3 linked regions of the Styela clava genome follow. Each later gene encodes a partner of the first gene's protein in a complex. Links are inferred from orthologs where the notes say so. Each region holds a gene or a part of one and is shown in the gene's direction. Other genes may lie near its edges.

Evidence for each region.
Region 2: actin-related protein 2/3 complex subunit 2-like (region 1) and actin-related protein 3 share a complex: the UniProt entries of both Drosophila melanogaster proteins name them as parts of the arp2/3 complex. The link is inferred for Styela clava from reciprocal best matches to the Drosophila melanogaster genes Arpc2 and Arp3.
Region 3: actin-related protein 2/3 complex subunit 2-like (region 1) and actin-related protein 2 share a complex: the UniProt entries of both Drosophila melanogaster proteins name them as parts of the arp2/3 complex. The link is inferred for Styela clava from reciprocal best matches to the Drosophila melanogaster genes Arpc2 and Arp2.

What each region holds. Positions count from the first base shown.
Region 1 is NC_135259.1:12,805,715-12,813,571, forward strand, and holds the start of actin-related protein 2/3 complex subunit 2-like, read left to right. Parts: upstream 1-4,819; 5' UTR 4,820-4,855; coding exon 4,856-4,929; intron 4,930-5,005; coding exon 5,006-5,153; intron 5,154-5,334; coding exon 5,335-5,448; intron 5,449-5,544; coding exon 5,545-5,660; intron 5,661-5,811; coding exon 5,812-5,905; intron 5,906-6,433; coding exon 6,434-6,560; intron 6,561-6,927; coding exon 6,928-7,129; intron 7,130-7,440; coding exon of another isoform or gene 7,441-7,456; exon of another isoform or gene 7,457-7,491; intron 7,492-7,857. UniProt on the Drosophila melanogaster protein: Functions as actin-binding component of the Arp2/3 complex which is involved in regulation of actin polymerization and together with an activating nucleation-promoting factor (NPF) mediates the formation of branched actin networks.
Region 2 is NC_135259.1:19,511,076-19,518,444, forward strand, and holds the start of actin-related protein 3, read left to right. Parts: upstream 1-4,367; 5' UTR 4,368-4,433; coding exon 4,434-5,678; 3' UTR 5,679-7,369. UniProt on the Drosophila melanogaster protein: Functions as ATP-binding component of the Arp2/3 complex which is involved in regulation of actin polymerization and together with an activating nucleation-promoting factor (NPF) mediates the formation of branched actin networks.
Region 3 is NC_135251.1:20,269,855-20,277,540, reverse strand, and holds the start of actin-related protein 2, read left to right. Parts: upstream 1-4,622; 5' UTR 4,623-4,734; coding exon 4,735-4,782; intron 4,783-7,686. UniProt on the Drosophila melanogaster protein: Functions as ATP-binding component of the Arp2/3 complex which is involved in regulation of actin polymerization and together with an activating nucleation-promoting factor (NPF) mediates the formation of branched actin networks.

The sequences.
Region 1 (7,857 bases):
AATTTCAACGCACCACAGTTCGATATCTACAAGAAGCAAGCCCAAATAGACACTAAATGGGTATATATATCTGCGTTGACTTATAAACTTAGATAGTATGACGTCACTATTTTCGTCAGTTACTCGAGCATCAAGTTTGCGAGGGCGGATCGAATTACAGATGTGTCGTCTGAATATCAAAAAATAAACGTGTTATCTGATGAGACGTGACCTAAGTTTTTCGAAGGATACTCACCATTTTAAGTTAAATGGTTTCGGGTAGCTTGTGCTACCCTCGGGGTGTGAGATGTAAGTCGGTGTACTTTGTCATTGAATACTTTGTCATCACCTCTAACGATACGCCAGAATACTAGGACCGAGTGGGTTCCCAATTAGCATCGATACAAGTTATTGTGAATGCCAAATTTTATTTTCAATTGTCTGATCGGAATTAACCCGTTAACTGTCTAATATAGGCTACTCTGTATGATTCCGACTGATTGAATGTTAAACTCAAATATCTAATTTTGTTCTGTTTTCACTTGGTATATTAGGATAGGATAAGTAGTTCACTATGTTGCGCTTTGCCATTACTGATAAAAAGAATTGTTTATTGCTCTTGATATTTTATTTGATACGATGGAAAGCAAATCGAAAAAAAAAAAATTTAATAGGGCTTTCCGTCCCGTATACATATTATCTGTAAGTTAGGGCCGTTGTATTAGTCCAAAGTCTGAGAGTTTGCTAACCAGCCAATTCACGAGGAATGTCTCTATTGTATTTATTTTATTCGGTCACAGTGTGGATCTAATTTGAAATAAAACAACCACTGTCATTTATACAAAAAGGGGTTTTTAATTTTTTAAGACCCGAAATATATTTGGTTAGCGCGCCTTATAGGTTGGTGGGCACTAATATTGAACCTAAGACCTGCTATGCGAAAATGTGTCACGAGAAGACTTCCGCTTACTTCTGTAGATCATTTTCTGATGAAATATTCTCATGTATATATATAAGGAAATTTGATAGGAAATGTTTTCTATATACTGTATATGTATTAATAAAGTATATTGATGTAAGAACGTGCACGTGCGATTGAAGGTGAACAAGAATAAATATATATTGTCCTCGACAGACGTCTCAACAAACAATATATATGATTCCTGAATTTAAAAAATATTGTAGCAATAAGAGGATGCATTTTCCTCATTAAAAAAATGAAAATTAAATGTGCTTGCATTTTGGATCGAATAAAACTATACACTGGTTTATTTGACAGATGACTGTTAGTTTAGTTTACAGCGATCTAGAATGCAAATTAATTACAATAATATAACAATGAGCTCATTAAAAAGTGCGTTATCAGCAAATCTTTTGTGATCACGATGTTGTCCCCACAAGCCAAATTAATCATTGTGCCCAACATGGCTCAGTCATCATAGACACGCCACTGTTTGGGTATCTCTCAAGTCCATGCACCGGAAAAAATAACTGGCTTACTACTCCGATCACCATATGATTAATCCGTCTTATCGGCTTTCTTTTCCCCTTGAATAAATATGTAAATCCTCCGCCGCTGGGGTAACATTCTCCGCGATTTCTTTGCCTTTATATCGCACGTGTTTGTTTCTATTCAATATTATAATTCATATTATTTCATCATTATTCATTGTGTGGTTTGTTGTTTTATATTGTAAACTTTTGAATTAAATACGCCCTCTTTTTCAAATATAGCACCCAATTTCAACTGTTTTGAAGCTAAACCAGTACCGAAATACTTCGCTGTCTGTTGGTTACGATGTTTCATTCGCGCTACGTAATCCCTAGGAAGATGAACAATTCCCTGAAACTTTTCCCCAATAAGATGGATGAGTCTTTCGTGACCCCTCATCAACTGCTGTAAGTCAATGTTCACCGTTTCTATTTTTCATGTGGATTATTGCTTTATATTGATTCTTACATTGTGAAAATGAATATCTGTATCTATAATTCATATATATACATGAAACTGAGCCTCCGTTTTTCCAAAAAAACGTATTATCGGGACATGACATTCATAATATATACACAAAATCAAGTTCCGGGGGAGACGCAAGACTTGCGAAGGCATGAACGAAATAACTTCTATTCATTTTGCATTCATTTACTACTGGGGGCTTTTGTGATAAACAATTGCTAATATGCAGCTGAATAAAACGATATATTCTCATACACGGGATCAGTAGTAATAGTTTGAATCCATTAGCATAAACTCACTCTGCATCTAGGATTCTATGTCCAATAAGTATGAAGTTCAATTCCGATCCTCTAAGCAGGGGTGGCCAACACGTCGATCGCGATCGACCGTCGGTCGTTTCATCCTGAGTGGTCGATCGCGCCTGATCTTGAAACGTAACAAAAGACGTAAAAAATTTGTTTTAGACCAATATTCAAGCGGCGCCTATTTTGTGTTCCGAAGAGGCGAATACTGTGCGTGTGCGAAAGACGTTATGTCTGGCGCATATTGGACAAAGCTCGTTTTTACGTAACAGTTTACAAGTTTCGTCACTGATAAATATAAGAAACAAATGGGCCGACTTAGACCAATGAATGTTTCACTTCGGTATTATGTGGAAAATTTTGTTAATTCTGGTGTATAAAAAGTAATATTGGTCACCGTAGCTGGACATTAGAATGACCATATTCAATGTTAATTTATATCAATTCTGAGCGTACCAGACAATTCCGGCGATTCTGCGTGAGCGGTAATACCTCCACTTTATTTTTTTAGGTGATGTCCCCAATTAAAATCGCATAACTTTCCTTAATATCTCCATGAGGCAGATAACGTCAAAATTTGACGCATACGTCAACGCAAACTACGATGAACCCTTTCGGTAATTATATTCACCGCACTCCTAGAGAATCGTCTCTCATTGGGCAGTGAAAAGGTCTATGTCATAATCAGAAATAAAGTAACCCAATGAGCGATTTGACGCCTAAGTTGAGAAACATATAATAGCTTTGCAAAGTCCAACTAAACGATTAGGATTGTTAGGCCTAGAACCTAAAATTTAGTGTAAACTAAGTTCAGTTCAAAGTGGGAGGATTATTAGAAGGATGGCACTCGATAGAAACATCTTTGGTTAGGGTACCAAAAGTACAAATAGTACAACAGAAGTCTTACCATATATCACTTTCTACTTTATGCCCTTGTTGTTGTTGTTGTTGTTGTTGTTGTGAGAAATAAATAGATTTTCTAAGCATTTAGTCCTGGCGCTACTCTTATATGAGAGCAGCGTGTACACGCTTCGTATGACATCCGTTACAATTATTTTGCCAGTGTGCTATCATTTTGGTATTTATAGTTACAGTGTTCCAACCAACGACCGGTTCCAACCCAATATCTAAGAACAATTCCAAAGTATTATCCTCTATAAAGTCGAATTATGTTTTGGATTTGATAACGTGGTTCCACTTGAGTGGTTCCTTGGGAGAGGCTTCACCTTCCGTCTCCTTGCTTAGTTGTTGCAGTGTCTATTCGGCTGGTTGGACATCGCGAGTGATTGTTTGCGTATAATTGAAAGTGTAGCCTTAAAATTGCCGATATTTACCGCACTGAATTATCAGTTTATAAAAAATAGTTTTGTGACAGATCCGCCAAAGTTTACATTGCTTTATACAGTAATATTCTGGAGTACCGGTATCACAAATTTTTCACTTTGATTTTTAATACCCTGATAGCGGTACCAAACAAAAATAGAAGTCCCGATTTAAAAGTGTATTGTGTTTCTAGTACATATATTTCGGTGGAGTTGTGTAACATAGGAAAATAATGTTTGGCATTGAACATTTTCTGAGTTTGATATATCTATATACTGATATACCTGTATACAGATAACGGTAGCAGTTTTTCTGAAAATATTGCACTTATTTCGGTATTACTTCTGATATCTACGTCGTAATACTGTAATAGATGAGACTTACATTTTTTTCTATAATCCAACTGAAACTTGAATTGTATCTTATCCTAGGGCTAAACCAAGAACAGAAGAATAGGGCTGTAGCAGTAACAAAGTGATGAGCTGAAAAATTGGGGTCTCATGTAGTTTCTTACCTAACATACTTCTAGTGGGTGTAACATGACAATTTTTCTACATATCAATCCTAACCCCCACCTGACCACACCATCCAAAAATTACGTCACTACGACGTCACAGTGACGTAATAGAGCCCTTCAAACTATGTGAACTGTCATCCAAGACGCGCAGACGAGAACCCGAAATCGAACAGCCATTTCTCTCGTTTTCTCGTCGCAACGATCCCGATAGGAGAGAGGTCGTTGACGTCAGTCAGTTCTTTATCGTCGGCGCCGATGCTATTTCGGGCGATCGTACAAGTATTTGGCAAGCTCTATGACGTGATTTTGACGTCGTAGTGACGTAATTTTTGGATGGCGTAGTCAGGTGAGGGTTAGGATTGGCATGTCAAAAAATTGTTATGCTACGCCTACTAGAAGTACGTTAGGTACGAAACTACACGAGACCCAAAAATTGTAACGAACAAACCTAATTCATTGAAATGTGAAAATAAAAATGTTTTTTTGGTACAATGGCATAAAGTTCTTCATGACATACCAATGAAAATTTAACCAACTAAGGAATCATAGTAACTTCAGAATTCAAAATCGAGAAAACATTTCACATTGCATTATGTATAAAATTTGCTTGTTAATAAAATTTAGAATGAAACTTTGTTAAGCTATGCTTCCTCAGCTACCACGCTCCTATGCCATTAGGATATCAGTATTGTGTGTTGATGGTTTTTGTTATGTATTAACAATAACTTTGTCATTTGGTTTAGTAATTTAGTAGAATTTGCTCAACATTTCTCCAAGATGATTTTGCTTGAAACACAGAATCGAATAATATCGGATACTTTGACATATAAATTTGAATGTGCAGTAGCAGGGTAAGCTTATTTTTTAAGTTAAATTATTTGTTATTTTTGAAGTTTCAGTGTTACATTTTTATTATTATTTTTAAAGGTCTAAACCAGAATCAATTGATTCAACAATTGCCGATTTTGATGGAGTGTTATATCATATCTCGAATCCAAATGGCGATAAATCAAAAGTCATGGTCAGCATTTCTTTGAAATTTTACAAGGATTTGGAAAACCATGGAGCAAAAGAGGTACATTACTTTGCAGTGAAAGAAATAAACCTTTTTGAGAGTGTGGTGAATAGTTTGGGACCTTTGTGAACAAGACTTGTTATATTTTATGAATTGAATTATGTTCGTTTCACATTTGGTTGTTTATATAATATTGATTACTAAGTTATTAAATACAGTAAATAAAATTATTCTATTTCAGCTTCTAGACAGAGTCTACGGATGTTATCTGACTTCACCTGAGTCTGGACACAGTGTCTCACTGCTCTATGATCTTTCGAACATTCCTAAGGATCACGCCAAAATTGTTGCAGATGTACGTTATTTCAATTCAAATTTTTTTTTCAATTTTCAGATGTAGAATTTACATTGGTACCAGAACAATTGACATTCCCAGTACTTGTTTTTCTAGGCTGCAAGTTTGAAAAGGAATTGTTTTGCATCTGTGTTTGAAGAATATTTTGAAGCACAGGTACAAGGGAAACAAGTGAAAAGAGCTGTCGTCAACTACAGAGATGATGAGACGATGTACGTTTTGAGAAATAATACTCGAATTATACTTTAAGTCTAATTTTTGAAAATACGCCAAACTAGATATTATGGGATATAGTATTTATGTTAGAAGACTCATAATACAGTATAAATACGATTTATTTATGTTTGCTTGTATTTTATTCAGGTATGTGGAAGCTAAGAAAGATCGTGTTACAGTGATATTCAGCACTGTTTTTAAAGATGATTCTGATATCATCTTTGGAAAAGTATTTATGCAGGTAATTAAATTAACATATGAACCTAAGTATAGGTAGGCCATATTATGTAGAATTATATCTTTGGCCATTAGAAAATAATAAAAGCCCCATCATTTGCTGCTTGTTAGGAGCCGTCTTCACAGAGAGAAATTGTGACAAAAACACCACATAGCATATTAGCTATTTACGAGTTTATCCACACTTTTTAAGTAAATATTGAAGCAGGAAGATATTTGAGCGCTCCAGAAGTATGTGTACCAATATGTAGGTAACTAATTTTATTCGCCTACATCAAGTTGTATAAAGGGACTGAAAACTATGGGCAGGGGGTATATTCGTTAAACAGACAGTCCCTGAAATCGTAATAGAACTAAAATAAGGAAAATCAGAATAAAACTATGGCCTGACCCTAACCTGGTACACACACTATGGGAGTGCCGATGTTTGACCAAGTATATTTGGATACATGTTCCTGAATTGTACTAGGAATCAGTCAGGGATTTGTATTACTTAAACATGATATGCAGGCTGTATGAAATATTGTAATAGGAATTCAAGGAAGGCCGCCGAGCAAGTGCCAGTGCACCCCAGGTTCTTTTCACTCATAAAGAACCTCCACTGGAATTGAAGGGACAGGATGCTGCAGTTGGTGATAACATTGGATACATTACTTTTGGTAAGATTTTGTTTCCTTCTGCTAAAATCTACTAATTCCAATTGTAGTTAAGTTCCAATAATTAAAACTAAATCAGATATTGTATTATGTAACCCACTACACAGGAAATTTATTTGATCATTACAATTATAACATAAAGCCATTTACCCCTCAACATGGCTGATCAGCTTCTATATCAATGCCCAAATTTTTCTAGGACTAGGACACTGCTAAGCATTCTTTTCATCCTTATTTTTAAAGTTTAAAGAGGCTGTCTGAGTGTCAACTGTCATTATGGATACATAAGTCTACAATCGCAATTCTTTTTCTACATTTGCTGAAATCAAATATTGTGTAGCTGCTATGTATGTTTTATTTGTATTTCTAGTTCTGAATACTCGACACACCAACCCTGCTAATCGTGACAATACAATTGATCTCATCCACACATTCCGAAACTACTTGCATTATCACATCAAGTGCAGCAAGGCTTACATTCACACAAGAATGCGAGCAAAGACTTCGGATTTCCTTAAAGTTCTCAACCGTGCCAGGCCTGACCAAGCAGTAAAAGAGAAGAAAACAATGTCGTAAGTTAAGAGTGTATCTAGAAATGGGGTGATTCTATTACCGGTTTATTTTATTTTGTTGATTTTGCTTACATCAAGATTTAATCAGTATTAATATACCATAATCGCATTTTAATTTTTTTTTTTAGTAACAAAATTTATGCAGTTTTGTGATTAATGAAAAATTTTTTTATATTATTTTGAGATTTTTATTTGCTTCTTTGTTTTTATTGTTGAATTGTTTTTAGTAGCAAATTTAATCATAAATGCTGATTGCAGGCTTTTTTTTTTTAATTGTGATTTTATCCCTAATTTTTGTTTTGCATGAACAGAGGAAGAAGTTTTTAATGTCAACGAAATGCACTATTTTCATTGTTTGAAAGGTTTGTATTTGCACTTTTTTTCTGGAATTATTTTGCTGCTTAAAAAATCCTAATGATTACATAACCAAGAAATTTTTAAGTTGATTTTGTTTTCCACATGTTGGAGTTGTAAACATTATGCTTCTGGGATAATCGGACTGTGAAGTCAAAGTTCAAAAAGTGACTCAGAATTCGATTTCCGGCTCGGGACTACCGTATAAAATTTTACCTACAATAACTTTGCTGTTTGCTACCTTTTTTATTTCATTCCGAAATCTTGACTGAGGACTCTTAGCATTCAGAAATCTATAGTTGGATAGTGTCTGTGGGCAGTGAAATACATTTAGATTTCTGGTTTCAAAACCAGGAAAAAGCACATAAAACTAT
Region 2 (7,369 bases), about 6.7 Mb from region 1:
GATATCAACCGTTTAACAATATAATTGTTGTAAACCATAGATGTGAACCTTGGCTGCTATAGCAGTATAGGCTAGTAATCCTGTAGTCGCAATCACTTCATCAAATAAAATTCTCATCAGGCAGTCAGGTTGGGTCTGGTATAGTTTAGTACCACATCCACTTCTAGTCGGCCTGGCTCAACAATTTTTTCATATGTCAATCCTAACCCCCACCTGACTACGTCACCGAAAAATTACGTCATTCCGACGTCACAGTGGCGTAATAAGGCTCACCGAAGTATGCGGATGGTCGTACAAAACGCGCAGACGATAAACCGAAATTGAGCAGGCTATTTCTTTCGTTTTCTCGTCGTAACGATCACGATAGGAGAGAGATCGCCGGCTTTAGCAAGTTCTAATCGGCGGCGCAGATGCCATTTCGGGCGATCGTAATTGTACTTTGGCAATCCCTATGACGTGATGGTTACGTCGTAGTGACGTAATTTTTGGATGGCGTAGTCAGATGGGGGTTAGGAATAACATATGCAAAAGTCGTTATGCTACGCCCACTGGAAGTACTTGTGGTACTAAACTATACTATACCCGTCAGGTTTTATGCTGAAAGGTAAGGACAGTAAGTAGGATGAAGATATTTCGGGTCTAGTATTTTGGGAGATAGTATACTTTTATAAGCATTATTACGCCACTGTGGCGACGAAATGACATAATTTTTCAGTGACGTAGTCAGGTGGGGGTTAGGATTGACATATGCAAAAATTGTTGAGCCAGGCCAACTTAAAGTGCATGTGGTACTAAACTATACCCGATATTTCAATAATTGCTGAATCTGTATACTGGTATAGTAGCAAAGTAGAGGTAATTTTGGGTCTTGCTTGCTTTAGATGATTTCACTATATTGTGAACATTTTCTCCGCCGTTTATTATTCAATTGAAGCTAAACTTGGAATATAATACATTGAAGCCTTTGTCGTCACGGTAAACTCTGTTTCATATCTATCAATGCCTTTTTTCATTGAAATAATTGACTTTATTCATCTGCTGATTTTCATTCCAAAATTTTCTAATGTTAGATGGCCACCTTTCGCTTTGCGTCACTTCGTCGTGAGAGAGAAATGTCTGCGTGATCAGTGATGCGTGATAACGTCGCTGCGTAGAACTTACGATGCCGTGACCCGTCTTGCGTGTCGCACACTGACGTTCATCTATGTTGTTGTCATTCCTGACGTTTCGCAAAACTAAACCATTTACTACTGACTATTCATTATTTCATTAAAGTGATAATTTGCTATTATTATCGTTTTGATACAAAGCAAAAATGAGACAATATGGAACAAATGAAAATGAAAAAACGGACGAATAAAATAAGTAGTAAAAGTAAAAAATGGAAGTGGAAATGGAAAACAATTTTTAATACAAAACAAAATTGAAATGAATGAAAATAATAAAAAAACGGATGATGAATTACAGTAAGTAGTAAAAGTAGAAAAATGAAAGTGGAAATGGAAAACAATATGGAACAGTAAAGCTTGTGGCAATTACATGCTTAAAATTTTCCACACGGGTTGGATCTGTCTTTGCAGCAATTAATGTGAAACCAATGTGTTTTTTTGCATGTTTCACAACCAACCCATTGGTCCTCAATTTCTGGTGTACCATTTGGATCATTCCAGTTACCACAGGCTGAGCAAACATCCTCTCGTGTGTCGTTTGTATTATTTGCAGGCTTCCGAATATATTTTCGCTGATCAATCTGGCACAGGTTTCTTCCTGGAGCAATTTTTTATCCTCGCCTACGTTTGCTTGGACTTCCGCTCGTTTCATGTATAGTTTTCAAATAGTCTATGAGGCAAGATGTCGTTTGATCAATTTCTTGACTCTCGATGGATGTAGATTCTTGGGCTGGCAGTTTGGCCAACACAACGGAGGGGGGTTAAATGTATGAATTCCACAAACCCGAAAGCATGATTTTAAATTTTTCACCGCTGTCTCTTCTGATTTCACGAAAAGTTGATTCAATAAAAGCGGGAAATGATCTTTTGGAAATCCACGAATCCGTGTTTCTGTCCTCCAATCAGCTATTCTTGTTCTCCATTTGGTTTTCAAGGGAGCGAAAAATGAACAATCGAGGGGCTGAAGAAGGTGCGTACTATTTGGAGGTAAGCACGTGAAATATACATTGTTTTTGTCGGCCAACTCGATGACATCTATTGTTAAGTGCGAGGATAAGTTGTCCCATACAAGCAATTTGTCACCGTCAAGTTCATTGCAGAATGGGATGAACACTTCTTTAAACTAGCGGATGAAAGTTCTTGTGTCGAACCATCCGCTCGGCGTTGCATCATAAACTGTCCCTTTGGGGCCATCTCTGGTCCAGTATTCATACACATTCATTGCTGAATATACCACCATAGGAGGTAAGAGCTTTCCAGCAGCAGATTCACAGAACATTATTGATATAGAACTCTTTGAAAAGTCGCGGATCATCTCCACCCTATTAATGCCGGTTGGTACAAAAGATCTTTTTCTGCCAGGATCATCACGAAGGTTGGTTTCATCGTAGTTAAATATATTAGTCGCGGGTAAACGCTTCGCTATTTCTTCAAGTTCGTTGAAATAATTTGCTACTTCTTAGGAGCCCACGGCGGCACGTGCTCTATCAATATTTGAAGCAACTCGTTTAGATAACCGTTGTCGCTTGCAAAAACTGGTTATCCACTTCCGACCAGGTTTGTTATTTGGGAATCTGGTAGAGCAAACTCCCTTTGTGTCCAGATATCTTTTGACGTTGTTGCTAATGTCCTCCGGCCCCATGAGAAAGCCTCAGCGCGCAACACTTTCGAGGCTCTTTGCAAATCGCTTTTCCCTCTTCATTTGTCAATCCAGTCGGACGACCGATACTTTTAGCGTGAACCTTCCTCATTTTATCGATTAACGTTGATCTTTTTACGTCATGACGTTTAGCAGCTTGGAAATATGACATTCCTGCTTTGACATCATCCATAGCTTTTTGCAAGTTCTCGTTTTTGCAGGAGTTGTACATTCGCTTTGGCATCGTGTTGATAATTCAGAAATACTGTATTCACAGGCAGATAGACAAAGCCAAATGACAAGAAACGGATAAAAACGGCAAAAAGAAACTTTGATACCTTTTTTTTTAATTTTGCGACCTTTTTTTTATTATTTGTATGTGGTCCAACCTCCTGCTGTGTACACCTGTGCAGAGTTCACCTCTGGAACATTCTACACTCAAGATATCTGGAACATTCTGCGCGTAAAATATCATCATCGGCCGATTGTAAACAGACATACTTTATAATTGTGATAGTATATTTATGCATAACTGGCTGTTCATCAGCCTTATTAAGTATCAACAACATCTGTATACGGTCGGAGAATGTATGCAAAAATATAAATGCACAAATTTGATGTGCATTAAACGGACTCACTATGAATAAATGAAGTTTTTGTAGGATTTGTTGACTAGGATCAGGTAGGAGCTTTTATTTTATATTTCACTACACACTACTACACGTCACATAGTCTGGCGTTCAAATGTTGCAGCGAGTTACGCACGAGCTACGCAATGTGACGTCGGCCATCAATGGAGTGAAATGGAATCTCGTTGTCTGCGTAAGCATCGTAACGTCGATATTTTGATGAAATTTTTAAATCAAAATATCCCTATCGTTCTATGATTCCAAGAATAGAAGAATATCAATTATAGCAGCCAGTGCAAACCCCTCTTACAAGACATTTTGTGTTTTGGCATGAATTGACAAACATCGGCATGAATTGACAAACCAACTTTGCGCAATAATTAAATTATGGAGCAGATCTATTTATTCTTGTTAAAATTAGTTGAAATATACAATTACAAATGACTTGGACCTTTTGAAAGATATGACTGTATGAAAATTAAATGCACTTATTTCATATAAACGAAATGATTTCACAATCACTTTATTTCTCATCAGTAATCTGTATGTCCAGATCTTTTTTCTGTAGATCTTTCCTTCTGTAACATGAATTATCCTCTTTGTTTTTTACAAAACGTGCTTACAATTACTCTAAGTTGAGCAAGTTATTTTTCTCATCGTAACGGGTCTGATATGAGAGAGATTGCTGACGTTAGTAAGTTCATTATCGTCGGCGGCTCGGCGCAGATGTTATTTCGAGCCATCGTAGAAATACTTTAGCAAGCTATATGGTATGATTGTGATGTCATAGTGACGTAATTTTTGCATGACATAATCAGATGGGAGTTAGTAATAACATATGTAAAAATGGTTATGACAAGCCCATTAGAAGTACTTGTGATGCTTGATAACTACACCAGACCCCTTTCCTTAAGCAATCAAAATTGTTATTTTGTTTTTACTTACTATAGGCAGTTTGCTTCAATATTTTTGATTGTGATAGAAATATTTTTGACTATGGCAAGCAAATTACCAGCATGTGTGGTGGACGTCGGTACAGGTTACACAAAGCTCGGCTTTGCTGGAAACACAGAGCCCCAATTTATCATGCCTTCATCTATCGCTGTGAAGGAAACCGCGAAAGTCGGCAATAAAGTTCATAAAGGGGTCGATGATCTTGATTTCTATATTGGGGATGAAGCCCAAGATAAACCCAATTATGCCACCAAGTGGCCAGTTCGTCATGGAATCGTAGAAGATTGGGATTTAATGGAGCGTTTCACGGAGCAAATTATCTTTAAGTATTTACGTGCAGAGCCTGAGGATCATTATTTCCTCATGACAGAACCTCCTCTGAACACCCCAGAAAATCGCGAATACTTGGCCGAAATCATGTTCGAATCCTTCAATGTTCCAGGCTTATACATCGCCGTACAAGCCGTGCTTGCTTTGGCAGCGTCTTGGACGTCGAGAGCTGTTGGGGAGCGTGTTCTTACTGGTACAGTCATTGACAGTGGAGATGGAGTGACCCATGTAATCCCTGTAGCTGAAGGCTACGTTATTGGCAGCTGCATCAAACATATCCCCATCGCAGGTCGAGACATCACTTACTTCATCCAGCAATTACTCCGGGAACGTGAAACTGGCATCCCTCCAGAGCAGTCGATGGAAACAGCAAAAGCAATCAAGGAGAGATATTCATACATCTGTCCTGATATTGCAAAAGAGTTTGCGAAATATGACTCTGACCCAGCCAAGTGGGTGAAGCAATATGAATCAAAAAATGCAGTTACGAAGCAGTCATTTAAAGTTGATGTCGGTCATGAGCGCTTCTTGGGACCAGAAATCTTTTTCCACCCTGAATTCTCAAACCCCGATTTTACAACTCCAATTTCTACTGTAGTGGATGATGTCATTCAGAATTGTCCTATTGATGTCAGAAGGCCGCTTTACAAAAATGTCGTGCTGTCTGGAGGATCAACCATGTTCAAAGATTTTGGCCGTCGTTTGCAACGAGATTTAAAGCGCACCGTCGACGCAAGGCTGAAAATGTCTGAAGAATTAAGCGGAGGTAGAATCAAACCAAAGCCAATGGAAGTACAAGTGGTCACACATAGCATGCAAAGATATGCTGTATGGTTTGGCGGATCTATGCTCGCATCAACGCCTGAATTTTATCAAGTGTGCCACACCAAAGCAGATTACGATGAGCACGGCCCAAGTATATGTCGCCATAATCCCGTATTTGGCACTATGTCATAACTCAAAGAACTTTTGAAGTATAAAGTTATTGTTTCAGTTGAAGCAAAGTTGAGAATGCTTGATTACATGATTGTAATACCTACTGTATTTGGACTTAATTCTATTCAAAAATAGGAAGAAAATTGATTCAAACCATGTACTTTGCTTATACTTATATCTTTTGTAATCTTATTCACAAATTGTTTCAAACTGAAATGATAAACTTGAACTTTTGAGTCGAGATATTCAAATAATCATGTTATATACTCAGAATGATTCCTAAGACTTGAATAATATATCGAACAGTTTGTAGGCCCGGTGCAGTTTTGTTAATCTTGGGCCAAATAATTTTCGGTCGTCTTACTTTGAGCCGAGCTATATATAATGGAATAATATCTAGAAATGTCTTCAGATTGAAATTCTCACTTATACAAGAAATTCCAGACATTTAGGCAATATAATCTATGTTAAATCGCAAACCTATTCGAAGTTATGCGCACATATTACTGATATGATATTCTAGACTTGATAACTAGAAATTGGATAATTCTCCTTTTTCAGTTGAACTATATACATTTAAACAATTTAATATCTGTTAAATCTCAAAGGATTTGAAGTTACGCTCACATATTATGATATACTAATTCTAAACTTGATAACCAGAAATTGGATATTAGTGCTTTTTCAGTTGAAATATTGTCTTTTAAATAAAGTTATTTGGATTTCCATTGTTGCTTCATGACATACTTGATTCGAATCTTTGTTCATGGATAGCTTATTAATTTAGAAAATGAATATCGTAATAATTTGTGTATTTTTTACATTATTTTATGTTCTATAGCTTTTTAGGTATTTCTCAATTTATCAAAGATCTGTTTTTGATTTGTATCAGTTATTTGGTGTACCAAATTAAATAATATAAAAGCTAAAACAGGATTTTCCACATTGGCGCCTCGAAAACTGGTCCCCCACCCAGTTTGGGAACTCTGGCTTACAATCTTGGATCAAATCTCTGTCCAAAATTGTATTAAATTGCTTTTGATTTGTATCCAATATAGTCAACTTTATCATTTGCTGTTCAAGCTACTTTTGTCATATTCAATCTAGGCAAGTTTAGTAAAATACGAAGCTGCTTTTAATGTTCAATTCTGATGAATATCCAGCATTTTGAGTGGCCAACTGCCAGTAATTTATTTCAATCTGTTATTTGTGTATTCTCATCATTATTTCACATACGATTAACATAGGGTTTACAGCACTTTGTGTACTTTTATCGGTGATTCTTATATTATCCAAGAATAATGTGTTCCGTTTTTAATTTTCTTGTAATTACCCTGTATTTTCTGCTGTAGATGTTTATTAATAACTGTTACAATTCCAATGAGATAACCATTTCACCCCTAGTGTGCCTTTCCCACCTTGAAGCAAGCATGCATCTTACAGATGACTGAAAAAAAATTGAACCCATTTTGAACAAATTCCAGAGAGAACATAACTTTTGTGCAAATAGTTCTAGATTACCGAAATTTTTGGGTACAATCATACGAAAACAGAAGTTTCAAATTTTTATCCATTTTCCTAGAAGTATTCGAGAAACTCGTAGGTTCTATTTTTCTTGGGTCACCCTGTCTATGGACTGCATTTGGCAGATATATATATATATAATGATAGCTCAATTCATTTTTGTTTTGCTTTCACATAAGACAACATAA
Region 3 (7,686 bases), on another chromosome or scaffold:
AATCGAATATGGAGCCAAGAAAAAAAGGCTAGAATCACTGGTCGAGTTACATATTATATTAACCCATTCGTATATTTCCAAGACCTTTGTAAAGGTAATTGCTTCTGGTGTTGTATTCAATCGGCATTTAAAGTTTGATTGTTGAACTCACTTTTGAAATCACCCCCGTGTATTTTGGAACGCAGCAGTGGACTTGGCTCATTTTGTTCTTTGGATTCACGATAATATAAGCTATTTAAGTTTAAGTGATATGTAGGGCTGGGCATTTTTGAATATCTTGTGATTTCAGAATCAATCGAATAATTTTTTCAAATCGAATCGAATCATGAATACTTGGAAATATATGATTTTAAGCGACATTTTTTTTTTATAGTAATTGGTCCTCTCAACAAATGAATCACTGAAGACATAGAATACATCACGCAGATAGATTACTGAGCGTTCACACCCAATAACAAACACGTTTTATCAATAACTCACTGCAGAGAATAGTCATATGTTAGAATTGCGTTGAAAAAATAATTATGACTTCAATGAACAAAAAATGAGGAATTCACCTAGACCAGGGTGGTCCAGGATTGGCAGCTCCCCGGGCCACAAAATTACTTTTGCATTGTTCGCGGGCCACAATAGTGCCAAAAACTTTGCTCGTTTAACTTCGCTAGTTGCCCCAGCAAGCCATAACACTAGTCAATTTAGTGACATTAATGATGCAACAATATGTCAAAAGATTTTTTTAGTTAATTTTATGACGAAACAACACAAAATGCAATTTTTTGATTCGTCTCCTAATGCGATGTGGGCCACAGATAATGAAGTGGCGGGCCACATGTGAACCGCGGGCCTGGGTTTGGACCCCCCTGACCTAGACCATTGGCGGAAAGAAAAAAACAAGATGGTAGCGATTCGAAATTTAGCTTTGAACCGATTTGAATAATTTAATATTCGATTCGATTCGAATATTCGATTCGAAATGCCCAGCCCTAGTGATATGTTTAAAAAAGCTTGGGATAACATATGACAAGCAGTGAAAAACACAAGAAAATTTATATAAAAAAAAATAAACAATTCGAATTTACGCAAACGATCATTTGTTGGAACGTGAAAACATGATGGTAGATGAATTGACAAGGGCTTTGTGGAACTCCCATCCCCATCATTATCCACTCTTTTTTTTAGCGTAAAAGTAAAACGTAACATTTCGATATTGATTGTATCAGTTGTATATATATATACATTTTATTGTGGAGTGGAATGGAGTTTATTTTGAAATTATTAAGTAACTCTAACAGTAGGCTTTTTCAGAGAGAAGTACATTTTACATTTTGTCGAACGTGATTTTGTTGCATATTTTCAAGTCATGGCTGCAATATGTTTTCTCAGAAGTCTTCGGAAAATTCAACTTTTAAAAGCCGCTCGGGTTTCCGATTATCGAACTTAAAAACTTGTGAGCGAACACGTACTACTTCTTTTATCAATACCTTTTCATTTAAAATCTGTACGTTTCAAACCTTACTCTAGGTTTTGCTCGCTTTCCCGATTCTATAATCAGTTACTTTTACTTCTGTTTTTATCTATTTTTTTATCGTCTATTGCTGATTATGGAGCCGAAATAAACTTATACTTATACTATAACTATCTTGTGCAGTTTTGGTACACAGCGAGTCCAATTTAGCTGGATAATTTCCATGAAATCTGTTTCGTTTTTGGAGTTACAAGTCATCATTGAGCTGGGTTGCGCCTACAAACAGGGGTTTGTTCAATAAATTTGCCATCGCAGTATATTATGGCCGGTAGTTGGCGACATTTATTTATAAAATTTGTGACTTATAGAACAAAACTCATCGAATAGATTGTATTTATATCTAGAGCGCAGCCAGTCCAAATTTTTATTAGGGGGTCAACGAATTGATTCATTGTCTTGTTATAGGGCATTATATTCCCTCCATGGGCGTATGTACCGAGGAGATTGCACCCATGGACGGATACCTCGAGTGAATATAAGCAGCTTGTACTGATTTTTGCATTGAACCAGATTCTGATATATCACGATAAATGGTTCCATTACATTTGAACCCGTAATTTGAACCCACGACAATTGCACCTGCATACTATTGCACCTATGAATTTTTTTTATTTTACGGATATTTGAACTCATCCTAACTCATGGATTTTAGCACCCTCATTTGAAACCGCGGATATTCGGGTGTAAATGTATGGGTTCAAGTGTACGGTCACCCGATAAATATAAGGAGTTATTTTTATTTAGAATCGATATTGCCTATCCAATTAATTGCACCCTGGATGAGGTGGAGGCATGGGATTTCAGCCCGGAATGTGTTATCTTTGATGCTTACACAGTTAAAGGCAAGATATATATATTATACGTGGAATAGCTTGGAACACTAGGTTAGAGAGTTTCTATCACAGATACATGATCTGCGATATCACTCCCGAAAAAATGGAACGACACAAAAAGCTTAGTAGTGAGGGTAATTTAACAGCTGTGAACCCCCATATTTCGTTAGTAAAAATCCACTTCAAATTTATATTGAAAACATGAAGAAAATAATCAAGACATCAAGCTGAGTACATTTGGGGCCACCACCCATACAAATTTATTCGTGGCTAGTAATTATCTTTTTTTTTTTATCGTTGGTCCTTTCATGATGACGATGAACAGCGCCCAAATCCAAAGTAATCGATGATTGCAACCGTGTCTTGAATCAACATGATAAAGATGAAAATATACTTTATTGCAGTGGTTTCCTAACTGGGTGTAATTAAACCCATTCAATGGTGCTCAGAAGTATGTCGCACAACCTGAATTCTGACCGGTACACACATACTATGTTTAGGTTGTGCGCCATCTTGGTGCGCGTCCCATTTGAGAATACTTAGAGGATAATTTAGACGTTTACTGCCTTTACAATTTCTTTTGGAATCTTTGTCCCAGCTTTTTCGAAGCACATCCTGACATCCATCTTAAAACTGAATTGGAAAATGGAATAGGGGATAGTATCATGGTAAAAAATCGAATTTCTGACTTCATGACTATAATTAAATTGTAACATCGCTAGGATTCAAGTCTCAAAATCGACCTTGCAAGGAAAGACATTGGAAAGTTTCTTGGTTTGTGTTGATATTCAACGTGACAAATTGCGCGATATTAATTTTATTACATGCAGGGGATTTGCTGGAACCGCTGCATAATGTAAGTACTAGCAATTCGAAGTCCATTTTTCAAAATTTTGTCTGTTAGAAACGATCGGGAGGGGATTTCATGACACCCATTTTAGAAAAAAGAATGTTAGCACGAATATGTTAAGCCAAAGAGCGCCATTTTTAAAAGCCATGAATTTTTTCAAATCTGAAAAGGTATTTTGGTTGATAAATTGTCAAGATTCATTCATTGTCATCAGTGTTCGACGTACAAAATCTACTTTGAGATATCATAAAGAAAAACAGCATCAAATACGCACTTGTTGGATGACATTGAATATACGATTTTGCAATCAAATCGTGAACAATATATTTTGACTGAAAACTTATTCTGAATTTATCATTGTCAAATTTTCATAATCAGCGATCTTGGTACTTCAATTACTTTTCACATTTATTGGGTCTTTACCAATACAGAGTTAGTGATATTCTCTTGAATCAAACGCCACAGGAGAGAAATTTACGACAACGTAATCATTTTTAAAGAAATTGTACTTTATGAAGATGATTTGTACCTGAGATGTCAGTTACCGATTAAAATAAATCGTAACCGTTAACTATCTAAAATCGGTTAACCATTCCCAGCCCTAGCTCAGACAGACACAGATTTTCAGGCGTGCCTTCTCGCGGTTTTGCGTGTTATTGGACACGTTTTCAGTTTTGTTTCCAAAAAATTACTAGTGAATGAAGTATTTTAATTGTCTTCATGTCTTCCGATGAGCTTTAGTTTAAAATCAATGATCAAAAATTAGTTATGGAAAAGCTGCGATAAACTAGGCTAAAATGAGCTAAAATCAGTACCAGTAATCGGCACGTGGTTTCATATTTCAATAAAAATAATGATTTTGAGCATGTAAATCAGTTTGTCAGTTGCTAATCTCCAAAACACTCGCAAAATTTAGCAATAGTAAAGTACGGTAAAGTATAAGGAGCATTTTTCTGGGTCTAGGTCGGGGAAACATCTATTATATATTTTCATTCTATTTACATGAATTTTAATTTACTATCACGGAAGAATTTATCAAACTCAAATTGCGCCATATGTGATAAACTGCCATAATAACAATAGCTGCTATGCCTGTCGCAATTGGAAAACTTCTAATATATAGTCCATATTTCAGATGTATATTTTATGGACAAATATATCACTGAACTTTAATACGCGTTTAGAGTCCGGCCTTTTTCTCGCATATGGGCTTCTATTTGTTTCAAGTATATAACGGTTAAGTATTAACGGTATATACGGGCTCGGCTTTAAGTTTATGATAAACACAACCACAAAGATATATAAATATGTATAATCGTAAATATATACTACTACATTCCCAGTTCAGTGACTACAATTGATTGCTACAACGTCATCATGCGGCGTAGTTACGGTTGAGTTGATTTTACCGGCGGAAGTTCTTGTGACATCTAGTGGATTTACATCTAGCTGTAGGGTGTTAACGTTTGTGTTTCTTTGCTGAGTGAGGAAGTTTGCGAGGAAATTATCGGATTTATTGAAGGAACATGGATTCCGCAGGCCGAAAGGTCGTTGTTTGCGACAACGGAACTGGGGTGAGTTTCATTATTAATAGTTAACATTCCGTGACTTATAGCAATACTAGCTGACTAGCCTATGCCAAGTATGTTTGTTTGCTTGATCACTTTACTGCAGGCCTCAGTTTTGACTGTCTGATGCTGTGATGACCCTCGGATCACCCACTGCCTGACTCATTCAAACATCCATTCATTACCGTATATAGCCTATTACTTATTACCAATTTTTTAACATTCCCCTTCTGTAGGCTACTGTAATAAAACACATGTTATAGCCTACCTCTATAGTATTACAGTACGGCACATTCTATAAATCGATAACATTGTCTCATTTTGGAGAATCCCATTTTGTCGATGAAGAAACACCCCTCCTTTAGGAGACGTCTGGATATTGTTGTCCCTCAATATCGGCAAAAATACAGTAAAATGAAGTTGCGCAAAAAACTACAAAGAAGCGCAATCTAAAGACGTCATAATTGAATTGCTCAGGGGGAAAAAATGATTCGATTCACCAAAAGAAAATATTTGGTTTTCATGTAGTTTCGTACCTAACATACTTCAAGTGGGCGTAGCCTAACAAATTTTCCATGTGTCGATCCTAACCTCCACGTGACTACGCCGTCCAAAAATTACGTCATTACGACATCACAGTGACATAATAGAGCTTGAAACTATTCAAACTGTCATCCAAGACGCGCAGACAAGCACCTGAAATCAAACAGCTATTTCTCTTGTTTTTTTGTCGCAACAATCCCTATATAAGAAAGAGATCGCTGACGTTAGTCATTCATTTATCGTCAGCGCCGATGCAATTTCGTGCTATTGTACGTGTATTTGGCAAGCTCTATGATGTGATTGTGATGTCGTAATAACATAATTTTTGGAGGGCATAGTCAGGTGGGGGTTAGGGTTGACATGTCAAAAAATGTTATGCTACGCCTACTAGAAGTATGTAAGTAGAAGTACGAAACTACACGAGACCCAAAAATTTTCTATCGTGGCATTATAGAATTTTAAGCGAAAATCAACAATTTTGGTCACATGATGGCCACGATTAATTTAGATTATTATCAGGACAAGCATTGCGCTATATGACGCATCCGCCGTCGTGCAAGATGCCCCTAGTTTATGAGACACATGGTGTGTTTGTTAGAGCTCGACCGATATCACTTTTTGGCACCGATACCGATAACGATATATCGGCCAACTAGTGACCGATAACCGATATTGACATACCGATATCTAGAACTCGAACCCGCAGTAAATACAAATAGAAAGAAACATTCAGTTTCAGTCAATCAAAAGTTTATGTTGAAAAATAAAGCAGTCCTACACAGTGCTTGCATCATTAATAAAAGTTTCGCAGCAAATAATAAGAACACACATTAATGCACAAGAGAAAAAAGGCAGTCAGTAAAAAGCTTATAGAAGTCCATTTTGATCCATACAGTAGTAGGTGGGAGTAGGCTTGCACGTAATTTACGGAATTGTTTGGAGTTACGGAAGGGAAGTTACAATTACGTAAAGTCGTAATTATTGGTCGAGCGCTTTCGCGTTTGAAACGTGCTCCTTCCAAGCAGCCAATTCCGTCGATTGTAAAAAATCAAAGTTTAACAAGTAGAAGAAGTTAGAGTTCCGGTATTCGCAGCCGTTTTGAGCCGGCATGACGCGTTGCCACCCCGTTTGAGCGTTTGGTTTCACGGTCAAAACGATATTATTATAAGCGTTGTCACCGTAACGCAATTAGCACCGACAGACTTTTTTGTCTTCACGATTTGGTATCTTTTTTATTCGGCACTGATAATGATAAATAAGAATGTGTGATAGTTGATTGTAATTCCGGAAGGCGTATTTTTCTTTCTCTCCGTGAAACAGACATGAAACGAATTTTACCGCCGCTATAAGCGCTTAAAAGGAGAGGAGGCTAGGCTACTTTCTTTTCCCGACTCAATCACTTTTATAAATACAAATCACAGCGCATTAAAAAACAAAATAGAATTTATTAGCATTAATAAACAACAAGTTACGGGTAAGAATTTATCGCCGGCTAAATAATTATTATTTGATTTAAATTTATCGCAAATGATGTTATAACATTTAGGCCGCGAAATGATTTGATATAAAATGAAGCTTGGTAATCGGAATATCGTCAATAATTCAGCATCAATAATTATTATAAAATGCTAACTAGGTAGCAAAGTCGGATAATGTATAAAAACGGAGCAATAACAAGTCTTCGTCGCGAGGCAAGCGCAGGTATAATCAAATGAGAAAATACGCTTGTCGTTGATTAATAACTTAGAAACCCGAAATTTTTATTCAATACGAAAGTCGATTTTAAAAAAGGCAACTATCGTTTCATAAATATCCGTATACCATTATCGGTAATGATAAAATTGATCGCATAAAATTGGGACGGTTAATTTGCGAACGTGATAAAGGAAAATCAAAGCCAACACAATTAAACAAGATAAAGATCAGAATAAATTTAATTTGAATTCACTCCTTGGTATTTGTCTTTAACATCTGTCGCCGGCGTGTAGTACTGTCGGTAATTTGAAAACCAAACTTCGATGTCCCATTCGGAAAAGAAGTGGATTCGAATGGTTTTTATGATAGGTTTAAACGTGTGAAAAAAATATCGCAATTACGGGGTCATTACGTAATCAATTTTTCCGTAATTGATTTTTGTCGATTACGTGCAAGCCTAGTGGGGACGCAAGATATTCGAAGGCGAGGATTTTGCGCCGCACGAAGAGAGAAATATAGAAGAGAACTCTCTGTTCATTGAAAGGCAAAATGAGAGAAGCGTAAAAAAGGAAAACGCTCGGCCGCAGATATTTCCCGGGGAAAAATACTCATTTTTTAGAACGTGGAAAAGCGACTAACGCTGATATATATCGGCCAGATATATCGGCCGGT